7 linked regions of the Kluyveromyces lactis genome follow. The protein of the gene in region 6 purifies or fractionates together with the protein of the main gene of each other region. This does not show direct contact. Links are inferred from orthologs where the notes say so. Each region holds a gene or a part of one and is shown on either strand. Other genes may lie near its edges.

Region 1 (2,378 bases), on a different chromosome or scaffold from region 6:
TAAATTTTTATATGAATGAGGGGGTCTCATCGAGTTTTAGTGCATTCCAATCCGGGTTTACAAGAGTCATCGGGGATGGTTTGGCTTTCCCGATGTTCAAAAGTTGTGAAGTAGAAAGGCTCATCTGTGGCAGCATAGAACAAGACATGGATTTCGAACAACTTCGCGCTGTGACGAAATACCAAGGCGGATTCCATAACCAAACCCCGGTAGTGGAATGGCTATGGGAAATACTACCACAATTATCCCATGAACAGCAACGTCAATTTCTCCATTTCGTGACTGGGAGTGACAGAGTTCCAGTGACGGGACTTGCGACGCTTCCGTTCAAGGTAACCCGCACAACGTCCGGATCACATGATCAGTTGCCCACTGCCCATACCTGTTTCAACGAACTCTGCTTGTACGAATATGAGTCACGTGATACTCTTCTTCTGCGATTGGTGACTGCCCTCGAAATGTATGAGGGTTATGGGTTTAAATAATGTCAGCAACAAACATACATTAATATAATCACTACAAACGAACCAATCATATCGTGAACCAGGCTTTACAGAAAAACCTGCTTCCCTTGAATAACCAGAAAACACAAGGAAATGGACACTTACAGCTACTATGTGAAAGCCGTTAAATGCGAAGCGTTTTACTGACACTAGGCCCAAAGGCCCTAGTGTCAGTTATCATTTCCACCAAGAAAATCTTCCTATACTTGACCATTTACGCAAATAAAATTGTATACTTGTAAATTGGAAAATAATAACCACACCAGGAAGTTCTGCCTCGTCCCAGCTCATTTACACTGTCCATTCCTGTCTGGTCGAATTATATCTTGTTTAATCCTTTAGCGCTTCTTACTATTGGCTTTTTTCCCAATCTGAAATTTTTCTTTGTTTTTTTTTTTTTTGCTTCCTTCCGCACTTATTAAGCTGCAATGGCTTCTGTTTAATATGGATAGAGATAATTTGATAATTTCTCTGAATAAAATAAAATAGAAAAAGATTTAGTACAATCATTTTATTATTACTTTCAGTTCCAACAACATTTTTGCATTGATATATATATTTTATAATCTGGCTTGGTGATTCATATCTGTGTATATATTTATTGATACTCCGAGAGTGCTTTGCTGTTGTGATTAAAGTCGATATCATAGAAACGATTTCTCCGAAATAAGAACGGGAAATTAGTACGAATAATACACTCTAGCGATATATCCATAACTAACTAATATCAAAAATGTTGGGTTTAAGAAACGGTTTGAAGACTGGTTTGAAGTCTGTTGCTCCAGCCAGATTAATTTCTACTTCTGCAGTTGCTGCCAAGTCTACTTACAGAACTCCAGATTTCGGAGACTATATCAAGGAGAATAACGATGCTGACAAAGGTCGTTCTTATGCTTACTTTATGGTTGGTTCTTTAGGTTTGTTGTCCTCTGCCGGTGCCAAATCCACCGTTGAAACTTTCATCGCTTCTATGTCTGCATCTGCAGATGTTTTGGCTATGGCTAAGGTCGAAGTCAACTTGGCTGCTATTCCAGAAGGTAAAAATGTCGTTGTGAAATGGCAAGGTAAGCCAGTTTTCATCAGACACAGAACCGACCATGAGATTCAAGAAGCTAACAGTGTTGATATGTCAGCTTTGAAGGATCCTCAAACTGATTCTGACAGAGTTCAAAAGCCAGAATGGTTAGTCATGTTGGGTATCTGTACTCATTTGGGTTGTGTTCCTATCGGTGAATCTGGTGATTTCGGTGGTTGGTTCTGTCCATGTCACGGTTCCCATTACGATATCTCCGGTAGAATCAGAAAGGGTCCAGCTCCATTGAACTTGGAAATCCCTCAATATGAATTCGATGGTGAAAACTTGATTGTCGGTTAAGCGCAGAAGGAAAGCTAAAAAAAGATTATATTATGTTGATAAATTGTTGAAATAGGCTACCTTTTTTTGCTATTTCTCAAATTTAACTCTCTTCCTTTTTCTCTTTCTCTTTGTCCTTCTCACTCCAGCTTTCACTAATAAAATTCTTTATTCCCATGTTGATGTCTCCTACTCCCCCCATGTATTTTCCAAGTAGGATTCACAACCAAGGTCAATATCTTTTATGCTAAAGTTTGTCATATTGGAATCGTGTAAGCTCGTTTTTTCACGTTCCATCATCACTACCCGATTTATTATTATTTATTCATACAAACATTTTTGAAACCACAACTACCCGTGCCCCCATAGCTCAAGCAAACTAAAAGGATAGCAAGCATGAAATGCTTTTGAAGCATTGTTCAATTGTATGTCATCACTTTTCCTTTTAACTGCACTGAGAAACAATCGCATTAATACCTGAATGACCACATCAGGCTACTACCGTGATTGAAACCCTTTTA
Region 2 (2,513 bases), on a different chromosome or scaffold from region 6:
TTTTCCCGCGGACTCCTTTAAAGGAGTCCGCGGGGGTTTATTATTAATATTATAATATATAATAAATAAGAATTACCCCGCGGCTCATCACCCTACATTCGTAGGGTGAGAGACCGCGGGGGAAAAATATTATTATAATAATTAATTATTATAATAATGGTTATCCTAAATTTATTACTCCCTACTCCCCCCCTTCAATATCTGCGCACCAATCGTGTGCGACAGGAAGGGGGGGGAGTATAGCATGAGATCAATAAATTATTTTTATACTCTTATTTATATATAATTATTATTATATTTAAAAATATAATATAATATAATATAATATAATATAATAATTCCGCGGATTCATAACATGAATCCGCGGGATATAAAATAAGTAAGAATCCCCGTCTCCTTGTGGGTCGGGAAGGTGACCGTGGGGAAACCCCTAATAATATTGTAGGGTTTGCAGGGAAAGAATATTATTATATATAATTTATTAATTATAAATTATATAATTATTGTTCATTTAATCATTCTAAGAATGCTGGTAATGAAACTGCTTCAATTTTAATAGGCATAGCTGAATGTGATTGTCCACAAATTTCTGAACATTGTCCATAGAATACACCTTCTCTTTGAATTAAAGCTGATACTTGATTTAATCTACCAGGAGCTGCATCAATTTTAATACCTAAACTAGGTACAGCAAAATCATGAATAACATCAGCTGCTGTAACAACAAATCTAATATGTGTATCAACAGGTACTACTACTGAAGTATCAGTATCTAATAATCTTAATTGACCATCTTCTAATAAATCTTCAGGAATAACATATGATTCAAATTCTACTGTTTCACCATTATCATTAATGAAATCTGAGTATTCATATTTTCAATATCATTGTAAACCAATAGCTTTAATAGTCATTGCTGGAGAAATAACTTCATCACATAAATATAATAAAATGAATGAAGGGAAAGCAATAATTAATAAAATTACAGCAGGGAAAATTGTTCAAATAATTTCAATAGTTTGACCATGTTTAATATATTTATAAGCAATAGGATTTTTACTATAAGTTCTTACAATTGTAAATAATAATCATGATACTAATCCTAAAATAATAAATAAATAGAACATAATATTATCATGTAATTCTAAAATACCTTCTTGATTAGGTGTAGCTGAATCTTGGAAATACATACCATAAGGTGTAGGTACATCATTCATAATAATTGAATTTAATAAATAAAACATATTTATAATTTTTTTTAATCTATATATATTCTATATATTAGATATTACATTGATTAATATATTATTCTCCCGCGAACTCATCCAACTAATGTTTTGATGAGTTCGCAATTAGGAAAAAAACTTATTAATAATAAATTATTATAAATAATTATAATAATATTAAATAAGTATATTGATATATTATTATTAAATTTTTATATTTTAATTGATATATTTAATATATATTAGAGATACGAGATTTGAACTCATGTCCTTCGCGTGTAAAACGAATGCTCTGCCAATTAAGCTAATCTCTATTATTATTATTATAATAATATTATACTTACTTATATCTATATAATAATATTATATAATAATTATTATAAATTCCCCCAATTGCGTATTCCTCCCCACCCCCCTTAAAGGGGGTGGGGTTTATTAATTATATTAACTCCGGGGACTCTTCCCAGGTATACACCTTATGGGAAGGAGTCCCCGGGAGAAGAGTATATAAAATTATTTATACACCCCGCGGCTTATTCCCTGGAATTCCAGGGAATAAGTCCGCGGGAAAAGTATTATAAATAAATTAATAAATAAATAAATAAATAAATAAATAAATTATTAATACTAATAATAAGTATTATACCCCGCGGGAAAATGTATATTATATATTTATTTATATATAAAATTAATAATATAAAATTAATTTTTATTAGTATTTAGAGGTCCTTAAGGAAATAGTAAGGAGAACGCGGGAAAGATATATATTAATTTATTATATATTATAAAATATTTATATTTTTACCCCCCCCTTCATATAATATGAAGGGGGGATTATATGTATATATTAATTTATTATATATTATATAATTATATAATTATAATATAAAGAAAGAAGCCCCACGCGGCATTACCCTAGGGTAATGCCGCGTGGGGGAAGAATATTGATTATTTATTTATTATTATTAATTAATAAATTAAATAGTATTTAATTTAACTTTAATATTATATTTACCATTTTTATTAACATCAGAAATATTAGTAATATTATGGTTAACAGGGATATAATTTAATTTATAATTATTAACCATTTGATTACCTCAAATATATTTATAGTTTTGGAATGTACCATTTAAAATATTCATTGTATTAGATCTAGAAATAGATTTATTATTAGATAATCTACCTTTTAATTGAATTGATCATCCTACTAAATATTTAAACATTAAAATATTATTAGGGATAGTATTAATATTATTATTTTCATAAATAATATTATATAATTTC
Region 3 (2,442 bases), on a different chromosome or scaffold from region 6:
TGTATCGGTAATTGTCATACTGACCCTCGGTGTCACCTTGAAACAAAGACTTTTTTTTTTGAAATTTTATTGATAAAATCGTACTTAATTTAAATAATGAGTTCTTACCTGTGAAATGTAGTATGTAGAGAAACAATGTGTAACATAAGTCTTTAATTGGTTTAAACGATCCGGGGGGGGAAAGAAATAGAGGCAATTGGTATAAAATATGAATCAATCATTCTTTTAAAATTCAATAGATCTGGCCTGTTCCCCGCTTTCCAAACATATAAACAAATCTTGATTATGTGCAGGACCAGTTCAAGTATATGTCCCCACTAAACTTTTTGTGTAATTTGTTGCTTCAGCTTGTGTAATTTATTATTTTGTAATATTTTAGAATAGGTTTGTGTATTTGACATTTGTATTGGAATTTTTAGAATGATATAGTGGTACACTGGTTGTTAATCCTTTTTTTACCAGGATAAGTGGGAATGATATGGAAGGAAGGATTAAAATGCTTAATGGTGACCTTCTTGAGGAACACCGACCATCTTAAGCTTGTATACACAACCGGTTTCCCAACATCTGGCGACTTGACCGTCGGTTGGCTTCAACCACATGACGTTGTGAGAACCAGCTGGGGAACCAGTGGCACCGACATAACGGTAGTCATCGTAGGATTCAACAATGATTGGGTTTTCCATGGTACCGATTCTGGAAGAGTCCAATGGCTTGGTGTCGAAAACTTCGATACCTTCCAATTTACCCAACAATTCCAATCTGGCTAAACCAGTGGCTTGGTCCAATTCGGTTGGAACTTCACCGTCTTTGGCACCAGGACCAATCAAAGTGTCAGCACCGTTAACTTCAGCCAACTTGGTAGCAGTCTTAACAACTTGTTGATCACCTGCAACCTTGGTGGTAGCAAAAGCTCTGGATGCTGGGCCGAACAACTTCGATAGGGATTGACGTAGAGACAACATTATTTCTTCTTTGTGATTGGATTGATAGGTGATAACTTAGATACTCCGATGTGTGAATCTAAAACGATGGAACAAAGGTATATTTGAATTGTAATGAACTAATCAATTAGCAATATATGACAAAAAGAACCACTTGGATACTGTAAGCTAGCTGAGACAGATAAGGTGATCAGTTGAATATATTCGCAAATGAAAGTAATCGGCGAAAGAAAACCCTCTGAAACAAACGTATGACTCTCTTGAACAAACTTGATAAAACGTCTTTAGCTACTTTCTAAAACTCTGAAATCACTGTTGAAAATATTATTCATATATATACATTCGGTTCCAATATCCTGCGAAAATCAAGAAATGAAAATTATCGCTTATAACAAAAAACGTACAAAAATCACATCATGTTTCCCAGTATGATTGGAGCAGGGAGAAGAAGGAAAGATACAAAAAAGGTGTCTACTCGTACATAGTGATGTACACATTTTTTAGCTGGAGTAGTCTTTCGTATTTGTTTCTATTTTGTTTCCGGCGAGAGTAGGATCTAGTGTGGGTGTTGTCAATTGAGTGAGAATTCTGCGATATGGTTGGCTAGAGGTCATGTGATTTATATAGGCAATGCCATGCCATTAATATTAAAGAGATTATTCATTTGATCTGGCGCGCGTCGCGTGACAGGTTATATACATATATGTGTGTACATATATGTGTGTTTCTATTATATGTGTATAATGTCAGATAATGGGGAAAATGGTTCACCTGCCAAATTTCTTCAGTTCGCAGTACCTTAGTGGTGGATATGATACTCCTGCGAAACCCATACCGAGCCACATACCTAAATCTCCGCCATACTCGCCAATCTTTGCGGCAAGTGGCCCCACGTAATACGTTTGACACATTCCAAGTACCACACCAGCAACACCGATGCAGAACGCAGCGGATGCAGCCAATCCTCTTGTGATGACTTCAGAGTTGTCCCATTCATCCCAGTTGTACCTGTGGATGTGCCTTGGTAATTTCCTTAGTTTATGATGTGGTTTCACTTCTATGTCATTGGGGAATTCCAATTTATATAGATGGTGGAACCAGTTTCTAAAGATGACGTTCTCTTCCACGAGTAAGATGAAGTACATGCTAATCCAGTAACCAATCATAGGTAGGAAATTTCCCAAGATGGTGGAAAAACTGTTTCTACCTACTAGCGCACATACGAGGTAAAAGATGGTACATCCGATAGCCCAGATCCAACGAGGCACCTTGGCTAACATCACACTTGATAATTGGATGGAGAATGCTGCAGAGTATGTGTTAACAATATTATTCGAGATTAAAGATAAGATCAATACAACGACCAAAAATTTCCCAAATCCATTCCAACGAGAGAAACCAGCATTCATGAGACCACCCATCCCATATTCATCATATGCAGCTTGCCAAGGTTCGTAGGACAGTGAACATGATGCCAGTAGAAGACCCAATACACCAA
Region 4 (2,490 bases), on a different chromosome or scaffold from region 6:
AACAAAAAGAGAGCGAGGAAAAAGATATATAACGATTATAAATAAAAAACTAGTGTCTTATTCTTAGAGTTAAGTACCACTTCGGATATGAGGGATAATAAGAGGAGGGGGGGGGTTTTTTTTTTTTTTCACCCTCCCCCCCCCCCCCAAAAAAAAAAAAAATGATAGTACGCTACGAACTATTTTTTTAAAAAAAAAAAAAAATCCCCCCCCTCCCCCCTGATGACATTGGGCTTGTACTTCATATTATTAATAGTCGTCATAATAAATAAATATATCTAGGACACATTATAATATATTTGACGGGGGGCTTTTTAGGATATACTTGGGGGGGTGCCACGGGTAGTTCTAATTCCCCGGCAATCCTATTTAGGATTGCCGCGGGCAATACTTATAATAGTATTATATTAATATTATATTATATATTTATTTATATATTTAATATAAAAAAGGTAAGAATATTATTGTTTAAAGATATTCTTATATATTGTACTGATGAGTTATACACCTCATCAGTAGAATACAATATATAAGAATAATCAAATGATATCTAAAATATGGCAGTACAACACTGTTGTTTCATAACCTACATGATGAGTAGCTGTTAAATGATAGTTTCTTAATCTTCAATAATTAATACCTAACATTGCTGCTAACATAACCATATGTAAGAAATGTAATCCTGTACCAGCATAGAATACTGATCCATATACACCATCAGTAATTGTGAAAGTAGCATTAGTATATTCGATATATTGACAAGTAACAAAAATAACAATTAATCAGAATGTAATTAATAATCCTGATAATGCATTTTTTCTATTACCACCTACTAATCCATGATGACTATATGTAATAGTAGCACCTGAAGATAATAAGATAATAGTATTTAATAAAGGTAATTCTGTAGGTTGTACAGCTTGAATACCAACTGGAGGTCATACACCACCTAATTCAATATTAGGGCTCATAGCTGAATGGAAATAAGCTCAGAATAATGCAGCGAAAATTAAAATTTCTGATACTACGAATAATAAGAAACCTAAATTAATACCTTTTCTAACAGCAATTGTATGATCTCCTAAATATGTTGCTTCAGCAATAATATCTCTAAATCATAATGTAGCACTTAATGTTACTGTTAAAATTGATAAATAAATTAAATACATATGTCCAATATATCCATGCATAGTTAAAGCTAATGATAATGCTAATGACATTAATGCAAATGATACTACAATTGGTCATGGTGATGGAGCTACTAAATGAAAGGGAAATTGTTGATGTCTACTTCTTTCTAAATGTGTCATAAATATTTTTATAATCTATACATTTATAAATTTAAATGTTAATTTAATTTATAGAAATAATATTACTTAATATATATATATAATATATATATATATGATAATATTTATATTTTAATATAATTATTATTATATTATACTTACTTATAAACCCCATTGCGGACTCCCCCCCCCCCGAAGGGAGGAGTCCGCAATGGGGAAAAGTTAATTATGAAAACTATTTATATATAGTATATTATTAGTAATATTAAATATATATCTAGTATCGCCAAATACCCCTATAATAGGGGTATTTGGCGATTAATAATTATATTATTATATATAATAGATCTATATAAATAAATACAATTCCCCGGACGCCTCGTCCGACCCTACGGTCGGACGATGGCGTCCGGGGTTTATATATCGATTCCCCCCAATCTCATAATATGAGATTGGGGGGGGGGGAAATAAAATAGATTATCTCTTTAATAATAATTATAAATAGAATATATTATCTTACCCCGCGGATCCTCTACTGGTATTACCAGTAGAGGATCCGCGGGAATTTATCTCTTTCCCGCGATATCATCATATGATGATATCGCGGAATATACATAATTTATAAAATATATAATAAATATTTTATTTTATATTTATAAGTAGTAAATATAATAAACATGTTAAATTTTTTAATAATTTAATAATAATATATATATAGTTTTATATATATATATTATACGATCAATATATATAAATAAATATAAATACAATGAATAAACATACAACAAATTTAAATATTATTAAAAATATTAATAATATAAACAATTTAAATTCTATAAAAGAATTATTATTATTATTAAATAATAAAAGATTAAATAGATCTTTAAATAAAACTTATATTTGAGATTATTTAAATGAATTAAGTAATAAAGGTGTAAAATTACAACATTTAAATAATATTAATTCTTGATCATCTCAAATTTATAAATTTAATAAAACTGAAGAAATTAATAATACTATTTATGATAGATTAGTAACTAAATTATTAACAAAATTATTAGTATTAAATATTAATAATAAAATTTATAAATTAATTATTTCTAAACCTATCTTTGAACATAGTATTAATAAAGTTAATATTAAATTTTTCTATTATTTATCATATAAAAATATTAATAAAAATATTAATAATAACAATAAT
Region 5 (3,059 bases), on a different chromosome or scaffold from region 6:
TCTTGATGGTTAAAATGTATTCAATTGCTCACCAGTAAATGACAGTATCATAAATAAGGACATTGAACTCATATTTTTGTTTCGACGAATAATGAGCGAGATTTTGATTTATTTCGATTTAGCCTAAATTTTCAAATATCATTTGGAATTAAAAAATACATTATGTTCATTAAATGTATTGATCTTGAGGAGCTGTGACAGAGCGAAAAATCGAATGCGCCAGTAAACACCCTAGACTTTAGTCCAAAACAGTAAAATATTGATATAAATCGATCGTGACAAATTTCTTTTTTTGGGGGAATATACACACATGAAATTAAACTGTAACTTATTACTCATCGAGTGATATGGTTATAACAACTCAAAAGTAAATGTTACAGGGAGTAATTCTACTCAGTCGAGTAGAAAAGAGAGAATTGTTTTTAGAATGACCGTCGTGAAATGAGAATATAATATAAAAAGAATTGTTAAAATATCTTAAGACTCGGCTTTTAGTTTGATTACCATCTCATCATACTCATGTCGTTTCTCATTCTGACGTAGTCCAACAAGTCTTCAATCTTACCAGTACCGGCAACAGCGATATCTTGATCCCATAATCTTTCGGAAGCCCAAGCCTTAATATCCTTGGAGGTAATTTTGTCAATCTTAGTGAAGACTTCAGCCAAGGCTGGCTTAGCACCCAAAACCAAGGTTTGAGCACCCAACAAGTTAGCAGCAGCAGCGTTGGTAGAAACTTGAGAAGCCAACTTCAACTTTAACAAAGACTTAGCACGAGCGACTTCAGTTTCGGTGACAGAGATGGACAATCTGTTCCATTGCTTCAAAGTGAAATGGACAGTTTCATCGATGTTGTGTGGGTCGGTGATGGTGGTTCTGAAACCCCACAAACCGGAGTCCTTATAAGAGACAGAGAAGTGTTCGAAAGAGTCACACAAGTGGTATTCGTTAACTTCGTCGATCAACTTAACACCTTGTAGGTTGGAAGCTGGTTCAGCAGCAACGAAAGTACCGAAGACTTCAGCAGCGACTTGAGCAACATAGTATTGTGGAGAATTGATAGGTTCACCTTCAGCAGCGATAGATACCCAAGCCTTTGGTAGAGTATCATCTCTTAGTCTGACTTCAGAACCCAAGAAAGTGGACTTCTTCTTTGGCACTGGTTTGTCACCAGATAGCAAAGAAAGCTTAGTTTCAACAGCCTTGACCAATTCATCGTGGTTAACGTTACCGGTACCAACAATAACAGAGTTGTTTGCCTTGAATTGGTTTTGAACGAAGTTGGACAAGTCGATGTTTTCCAAACCTTCTAGAGTTTCGACAGTACCTCTGACTGGCAAAGACAATGGAGTGTTTTGGAAAGCAGTGGCGTGCAAGTGTTCGAAAACACGTTGTTCGTGTTCAGTTTCTTCGAACTTGGCAACAGTGTCTACAGTAGCTCTCTTGGAACTTTCGAAGACGGAGTCCTCAATTGGAGCGAAAAGCTTGGATTGCAAGAATTCTAGAGCCTTAGCATATTGACCTGGTTGAGAGTTAACAATGTAAGATTGGTGGTCTCTGCCAACCTTGGTTTCTAAGGAGAATCCCAATTTTTGAGCATCCTTGATAGAAGAGTTGACAAAGGAGTTAGCCAACAAGTTGGAAACACCGTTGTTGTATGGGTTTTCGGCAGTAGTACCGGAACCGAACACCAAACCGACCGCAGCAGTGGCAGAGTTGCTGTTTGGTTCAGTAGCAACAACAACACCGTTAGATAGTTCGGTGACGATGGCTTTTGGGGTAATTTGAGTGGCAATGGTTCTCTTCAAGATTGAAGATCTAGTAGCGGTTCTCAACATCTTTCTTATGGCAAATAATTGGTTATAATCCGTTTAATCAATATAGTGTGTTGAATTTGTACGTGCAAAATAAATAGAATACGGGATCAAAAACAAGTCAATGAGCTCCCAAATGTAATACCTTCGAAGTTATAATTCTCGTTTACTTTTTTCCTTGGAAACCTTTCTGTTGGTATACTATCGATTCAAAAAACAGTATAGTGGTATTTCACTGAAAAAAATATAAAGCAAAGTTTGGATAGTTTTTAGCCTAACTGAATTCTCAATTTCCTTAAAATTGTGCACACTTGACTGAAGCAATATACAAGAGTAGAAAACTATAAACAGGTCTAAATAAAGTTAGTGTACTTTCATTAAACAAATATCAATGATTTATCTAACTACTTTTAATTTTTTTTTAATTTTGGAAGGTTACACTATATGAAAAAAGTGAAAAATGTTGATACTGAGAGCGCTGTCTAGTTTTTCGATATTTCCATAATTTTTTTTTTTTACCTCTTCTTCTTTGTCTTCTCTGTAGCATAGAGATTTTCTTTCATTGGACAACGACCTGTCCACATAATTAATAGGGGACCCCCTTTGAACAATTATTAAAATCGTTTCTGGCCGAGAAACTGGTCCGAAAAACAAAAATTTACATAGTAGCGAGTACTTTTCGGGACGAGAATTTAGCCCCAAAACTGCTAATTCCATCTGCTCGAACATTTCCAATCAAATCGACATTTTTGGGATTGCATATCCCTCTTTCTCGCTCATCTCGCAGTTACGGAAGTATCGGTACCAGCATTTCTTTTCCCATAATAAACAGTGGAAATGCTCGATTTCCTATGGTAAGCGGTAAACTTTGAATGAAAAATGAACCGTGAAATACGATGCCCGAACTGGATTTCCATTGGTTCGTCAAAGATGATCAAATACCGAGATTGAAATTCGACTCACGTGAATAAAATTACACTTACCCGCACAATAGAAAGATTCGGGTAAGTACCAAAGTCCAAATGAGTACTTTTTTTTTTTTTGATTACTTGCTTGCTTGCTGGTGGTTTGTGCGTACAGTGTAAGTGTTCGATTCTCGCCTTGAAAACACCGCAACGAATATCCATTCGGATTTACTCTTCGGAAATAAAATCATCATTTCATTCGCCAACTATCCCTGCATGTATTTACGACTTCTTCAAGCAAGGTTTCTAAGAAATTTAGAAGGGAGCTTATTCCCGCAAA
Region 6 (2,463 bases):
TTATCAGTGACACTTTCTACCTTTGTTCAGTGTCGTGCTACGAGTAGGATAAGAGCTCTGAATCCTTGCTTTAAAGTGACACCCTTGCTCTGTTAATTCTTTCATTGTTTCGATTTTGATGTTCTTTTTCTTGATTTTTCAATAGTAAATATGTGTGCTTCATGGAAATCCTAGGAAACCTAGTTCTACATATGAGTTCGAGGAAAACGAGAAACCTTGGATAGGAAGATCAGTGAATAGACATTGGTGGGTACCCCTGGATGCCTCATTGTAGCAATATGTTCATTAAAAAAACTATATACATATACAGAGAATTGTTGGGAGAGGAAAAGAAGCGTTTGTTTCACTTCATAAAACATATTGATGAGTAGGTTTAATTTCGTTTGCTATTCAGCATAGTAAAATGACGATGCCCTCAAAGATGCTTCAGGGCTCTTGTTCGTCAGTGAATTTGTTCTTTGATTGGAAAATTCAGATAGTCATGTAAAGAGATAATAAGCCTATTTCTTTAATCTTTCCTCAAGGTCTTTCAATTCTTGTTGCAGTTTGGAGGTCTCTTGTTCCATTTCTTTAGCTTTTTGTCTGGCAAGTTCAGCTTTTTGTCTCCTCAACTTAGTCTCTTCATCTCTTCTCTCCAACTCTTGGATCCATAACTGCTCTCTCATCTTGGCCTTCTTCCTTAGTTGTTCCTCATGAGATTCTCTTTCGTTTTTATTTGTACCGTAGATATAAGAACCTGCTACAAGGGCGATAAGTGTAAACCCTTGAAGGGCTACACGCCAACGGAACCAGATCTGAGCTTTCCGCTTGTTACCGTTCTTCACATTAAGCACAGCCAACAAAACTGCACCAGTGGTAGCTAGAGTCCCAAGAGGAACTAATGGCTGTTGCTTACAATGGTAAATCATTTTATCCAGAAATGGCATCTCATCCAAATCATCTGCATCGGAGTCGAAACTTGATGGAAGGTACGACATGATTGTTTTCTTTTGCTGTTGTTGGGTGTATATCTCTGTAAGTACGAGCACGGTCTTCTCTTGATTTCGGCCTGTTAGTTAGTTGTATCGAAAACTATAGACGCCTTGATCAACTCCAGATAGTTTGCTGCCTTGCTTTATTTAATGAATCTCTTTATCGGTTGGAAACTTTATTTCTACTATTCCTTTATTTCGATATTTGCTCATTACTTGTGTGGGAAATTTGTACAATAGGGTAATGGCAAAGTAAACAGGTGTCAGTTAACACGACACCAATGACAGGGCACTGACCAGTACTCGTTCCCTCTTGATGGTAACTAATAATCTTAAATATACATAAGGGTACGGTATGCATATATGTAGTATATTATATTTCAGAAATTTCTGAGTTCTCAATCATTTCCACTCTTGTTCTCTTCCTCGAAGATGAATTGTTTCAATTTCTCGTATGCGGCATCCAAATCGTCGTTGACAACGGTCAAGTCATGTGCGCCAGTCTCAGCATATTCCAATTCGGCAATGGCTGCATTTAGTCTTTTCTCAAGAGATTCTGGCGTCTCGGTGCCTCTGCCAGTCAACCTTTCCTTCAGCACTTCAACAGAAGGTGGAGCCACGAAAAGGAACCTAGCGTTCAAATCGGTCTGTTTCACAGATTTCACACCTTGCATGTCAATGTCCAAGATACACGTCTTGCCGCTGTTTGTCACCTCCTTCACAGACTCGATAGTCGTTCCGTAGTAGTTACCAGAGAACTGTGCCCATTCGATGAACTTCTTGTTATCTATCATCGATTTGAACTCGTCCACTGTAACGAAATTGTAGTCCTTACCGTTCACTTCACCATTTCTTGGCTGTCTAGTAGTAGACGATACAGAGAACCCGAAACTCGTTGGGTACTCCGCGAACAACTTCTTCAAAAGAGTGGACTTACCGGTACCACTTGGACCAGAAATGACTATAGGACGACTCATTCTTCCAATAAACATGCAAAAGGGAAGCGTTGAAGATGCCAGCTGAGCGCCTAATTCAAAAATAAAATATACCAGAAACGAAAAGAGTAAACGCAAACGTAAGAGTGGCACCAACGAACTGCTTTATTGAAAATGGTGGTTTTTTAATGATCTATGTCTTGGATCCACACATGTCACATTGAAATAATTTTTCAGTTCTAACTTGGCGATGCCCATCGCGTCGTTAAATCTAGAAACAGAAAATGAAAATGAAATTGGAACTCGTATGGAAACTGGAATGTGGACTGAAATGCCGATGAGGAAGCGATATATGGCTCCAATGAGCCAGTAGCTAGTAACCACTAGTTCCAGTGTGTTTTTGGATACAGTACCGGTAGAAGAAGGTATTGTGTGTCGCGATATTCTCTGATATAACCTGTGCCAAGGCTGGTCAACAACAATGATATCACGTGATATATGAAATTTATGCGTGGTGTGTGGGTTTATTGATATTTCCCACATTATTCGGATGTCTG
Region 7 (2,596 bases), on a different chromosome or scaffold from region 6:
AAAGTAGTATTATGACGTACAAAGGAGGAGGTTCAATTCTTTCTAATTCGTAAGAAAAAAACACTATTTGTTCCCCCGAAGTACCATATTCTCAGAAGATGAGAATAAAGAGAGGGGTTGTTCGTAAAAAAAGTTTTCATTTAAATCCTCACCGTTTCATTCTTGATAATCGAGCTTCCTTTTCCCTCTTTATAAGATGTTTTTAAGCATGGTTGATGGTCAAGCCATTTTGTTTTGTTAGAATCCTTTTTTATGTGTCAGACGGTGTGGGATGTATGGGTGGAAAGATGAATATATTTGATGTATCTCTGATCTAAATGATTAAGATCACATTTGATTACCAACAATCAAATACTGATCAATCAAGTAGCAAAAAAGAAGAGACCTTGCAAGTTTCTCCGGAAATGGGGAGAAACAGAAGTAGAGAGTTGAGAGAATAAAATAGAAAGAGTTGATATGAATTAGTCTTTATTCGTTTCGACATTAATATTCAAAAAAACTCATTTCTTTGGTGGGTTGAAGACAATCTTTCTAGACTTGATAGAAGCCCACTTGAACTTCTTGACCCAGACGGACAACAAGTATAGAGAGGACAATACGATCATAGCCTTTAGACCCAATCTCTTTCTTTCATCGTGTTCTGGTTCAGAACACCAGTGCAAGAAAGTGGTAACATCCTTAGCCATTTGAGAAGTAGTGGCTGGGGTACCGTCTTCGTATTCGACCAAATCGTCGAACAAGACTCTACCCATCGCAATGGAACCACCTGGGAAGTATGGGTTGTAGTTGGCACCTGGAGGCAAGACAACACCGGCTGGTGGTTCTTCTGGGTAACCAGTTAACAAAGCAAAGATATAATCTGGACCACCGTGTCTGGCCTTGACGATCAAGGACAAATCTGGAGGTAGAGCACCTTGGTTAGCGGCTCTAGCAGCTTGTTCGTTTGGATATGGACCTGGGACATAATCAGCCAATTTACCAGGTCTCTTCTTTGGGTTACCTTGGTCATCTGGTTCGTCATCGTATTCGAACTCTTCAGCCATGGCTCTGACTTCGGCGTTAGTGTGAGAAACACCAACCATGGTTCTCCATGCAACACGGTCCAAAGAATGGCATGCAGCACAAACTTCACGGTAAACTTGGTAACCACGTCTGATAGAAGAATGGTCGAAAGTTTCCAATGGACCGTTGTGAGACCAACCGTAACCTGGGGCATGCAAACCATGCTCAGCAGCTGTCATAGCGTCAGCAGTCAAGGAATCAGCATACAACATTGTTGAAGCACCAATACCGACAACAGCAGCACCACCAACAATGGCTCTTTGAACATAAGTACCTTTTACGGCCTGTTTAGCGGCAGTAGAAAATGATCTGAACATCGTTTATTATTATGATATCACTTTAGTTTCCTATTAATTGAATTCTCTTCTAAAAGATAAAAATGTCCCGAATTTTGATATTCTAACAACTATTTGTATGAATCAAAGCTGATATTCTTGAATTTATATTCGTATCACACAGACAATGGATAATATCCTGAGAATGTATTATTATTCTTTTCTTAATATCTGTACCAGAAAGACGAACAAATAGACAGTTAGGTAAAGGACAAAAATTTAAAAGACGCAGGCTTCTTTTATTCCGTTCTTTTCAAAAATAAATATTAAATCAAATCCGTTGAATTGATTGATCGATCAGCGCAAACTAAATCCCTGGTTAATACTATAACCAACTAAACGTATATATAAATAATCTATGTATATCGTTTCCAAAAAGTTTTCTCTAGTTTGAAAAGAATTATATACTATATTTTTGTAGATATTTTTCATTATATCGCTTTTTACATAGAGAAAAAATCGATTCCCAAAATTTTCAAGCCGTTTTTTTTTTTCCCTTTCGCTGTCTGTGAGCATTTCTCTGCTAAGTTTTCTGTCCAATCCAATGATAATTGTTTGTGATTGATTATGTTTAAAGTATTTTTTTTTATTTTTCGAAAGCGATGTTTTTCTGAAGGTTTTCTATCCTAAGCGCACTGGAGGATGCGTGTTAAGGGCGATATTCCCGACGAAAAGTCACTAAGTACGGGAAAATATCCATATGTGCGGAGGTTTATGAGAAGACGGCACGTTCTTCGATGTGATTGGTCAGAACTCCATATCCCAAAAACATCAATGTCATTCACGTGACTGGGACTTGTCACGTGAATGTTTTCCTTCTGGGAAAACGTAAAACGTCTTTCCATTCATATCCATATGGCAAAAGCCATTCAAGAAAGAGTAAGTACATGCTAACGCCTAGAATAGAATTGACCATTCTGGTCTTAGTTAATCGGCTAGAAGGAAACAGCTCAAGAACAATGGAAGATGTTAGGTACGGGTTTCTCAGTACACTGGACCATTTACCATGCGATGTGATTCGCACCCTCTGGACTATACAATCATTGGATATAGGTGATACTAATAGAGATGGATGTCATTCAGAAGAGATGCTGCGACAAGCGCAACATCTCTTAGAGTTAGTACGGCAAGAACATTCACGGCTCAATTTTGAAAAACAAGAATTGGAGCGATTCTCTCAGATTAAGGCAAGGTACGAT

What was found.
Region 1: the proteins of RCF1 (region 6) and RIP1 purify together in Saccharomyces cerevisiae (co-purification; 3 studies listed by BioGRID, with this or other methods). This does not show direct contact. The link is inferred for Kluyveromyces lactis from reciprocal best matches to the Saccharomyces cerevisiae genes RCF1 and RIP1.
Region 2: the proteins of RCF1 (region 6) and COX2 purify together in Saccharomyces cerevisiae (affinity purification with western blotting; 4 studies listed by BioGRID, with this or other methods). This does not show direct contact. The link is inferred for Kluyveromyces lactis from reciprocal best matches to the Saccharomyces cerevisiae genes RCF1 and COX2.
Region 3: the proteins of RCF1 (region 6) and COX4 purify together in Saccharomyces cerevisiae (affinity purification with western blotting; 4 studies listed by BioGRID, with this or other methods). This does not show direct contact. The link is inferred for Kluyveromyces lactis from reciprocal best matches to the Saccharomyces cerevisiae genes RCF1 and COX4.
Region 4: the proteins of RCF1 (region 6) and COX3 purify together in Saccharomyces cerevisiae (affinity purification with western blotting; 6 studies listed by BioGRID, with this or other methods). This does not show direct contact. The link is inferred for Kluyveromyces lactis from reciprocal best matches to the Saccharomyces cerevisiae genes RCF1 and COX3.
Region 5: the proteins of RCF1 (region 6) and COR1 purify together in Saccharomyces cerevisiae (affinity purification with western blotting; 4 studies listed by BioGRID, with this or other methods). This does not show direct contact. The link is inferred for Kluyveromyces lactis from reciprocal best matches to the Saccharomyces cerevisiae genes RCF1 and COR1.
Region 7: the proteins of RCF1 (region 6) and CYT1 purify together in Saccharomyces cerevisiae (affinity purification with western blotting; 3 studies listed by BioGRID, with this or other methods). This does not show direct contact. The link is inferred for Kluyveromyces lactis from reciprocal best matches to the Saccharomyces cerevisiae genes RCF1 and CYT1.

What each region holds. Positions count from the first base shown.
Region 1 is NC_006041.1:2,012,936-2,015,313, forward strand, and holds RIP1 (ubiquinol--cytochrome-c reductase catalytic subunit RIP1), read left to right. Parts: upstream 1-1,236; coding exon 1,237-1,878; downstream 1,879-2,378. Other genes in the region: putative E3 ubiquitin-protein ligase HUL4, read left to right, coding at 1-485. UniProt on the Saccharomyces cerevisiae protein: Component of the ubiquinol-cytochrome c oxidoreductase, a multisubunit transmembrane complex that is part of the mitochondrial electron transport chain which drives oxidative phosphorylation.
Region 2 is NC_006077.1:34,436-36,948, forward strand, and holds COX2 (cytochrome c oxidase subunit 2), read right to left. Parts: upstream 1,272-2,513; coding exon 501-1,271; downstream 1-500. Other genes in the region: VAR1 (ribosomal small subunit protein), read right to left, coding at 2,204-2,513. UniProt on the Saccharomyces cerevisiae protein: Component of the cytochrome c oxidase, the last enzyme in the mitochondrial electron transport chain which drives oxidative phosphorylation.
Region 3 is NC_006040.1:437,176-439,617, reverse strand, and holds COX4 (cytochrome c oxidase subunit IV), read right to left. Parts: upstream 966-2,442; coding exon 501-965; downstream 1-500. Other genes in the region: TPN1 (Tpn1p), read right to left, coding at 1,712-2,442. UniProt on the Saccharomyces cerevisiae protein: Component of the cytochrome c oxidase, the last enzyme in the mitochondrial electron transport chain which drives oxidative phosphorylation.
Region 4 is NC_006077.1:37,359-39,848, reverse strand, and holds COX3 (cytochrome c oxidase subunit 3), read right to left. Parts: upstream 1,311-2,490; coding exon 501-1,310; downstream 1-500. Other genes in the region: VAR1 (ribosomal small subunit protein), read left to right, coding at 2,044-2,490. UniProt on the Saccharomyces cerevisiae protein: Component of the cytochrome c oxidase, the last enzyme in the mitochondrial electron transport chain which drives oxidative phosphorylation.
Region 5 is NC_006041.1:507,937-510,995, reverse strand, and holds COR1 (ubiquinol--cytochrome-c reductase subunit COR1), read right to left. Parts: upstream 1,839-3,059; coding exon 501-1,838; downstream 1-500. UniProt on the Saccharomyces cerevisiae protein: Component of the ubiquinol-cytochrome c oxidoreductase, a multisubunit transmembrane complex that is part of the mitochondrial electron transport chain which drives oxidative phosphorylation.
Region 6 is NC_006038.1:134,409-136,871, forward strand, and holds RCF1 (respiratory supercomplex assembly factor RCF1), read right to left. Parts: upstream 978-2,463; coding exon 501-977; downstream 1-500. Other genes in the region: GUK1 (guanylate kinase), read right to left, coding at 1,370-1,948. UniProt on the Saccharomyces cerevisiae protein: Assembly factor that plays a role in the assembly of the respiratory chain supercomplexes (SCs) composed of ubiquinol-cytochrome c oxidoreductase (cytochrome b-c1 complex, complex III, CIII) and cytochrome c oxidase (complex IV, CIV).
Region 7 is NC_006042.1:1,525,675-1,528,270, reverse strand, and holds CYT1 (ubiquinol--cytochrome-c reductase catalytic subunit CYT1), read right to left. Parts: upstream 1,380-2,596; coding exon 501-1,379; downstream 1-500. Other genes in the region: YNG1 (Yng1p), read left to right, coding at 2,285-2,596. UniProt on the Saccharomyces cerevisiae protein: Component of the ubiquinol-cytochrome c oxidoreductase, a multisubunit transmembrane complex that is part of the mitochondrial electron transport chain which drives oxidative phosphorylation.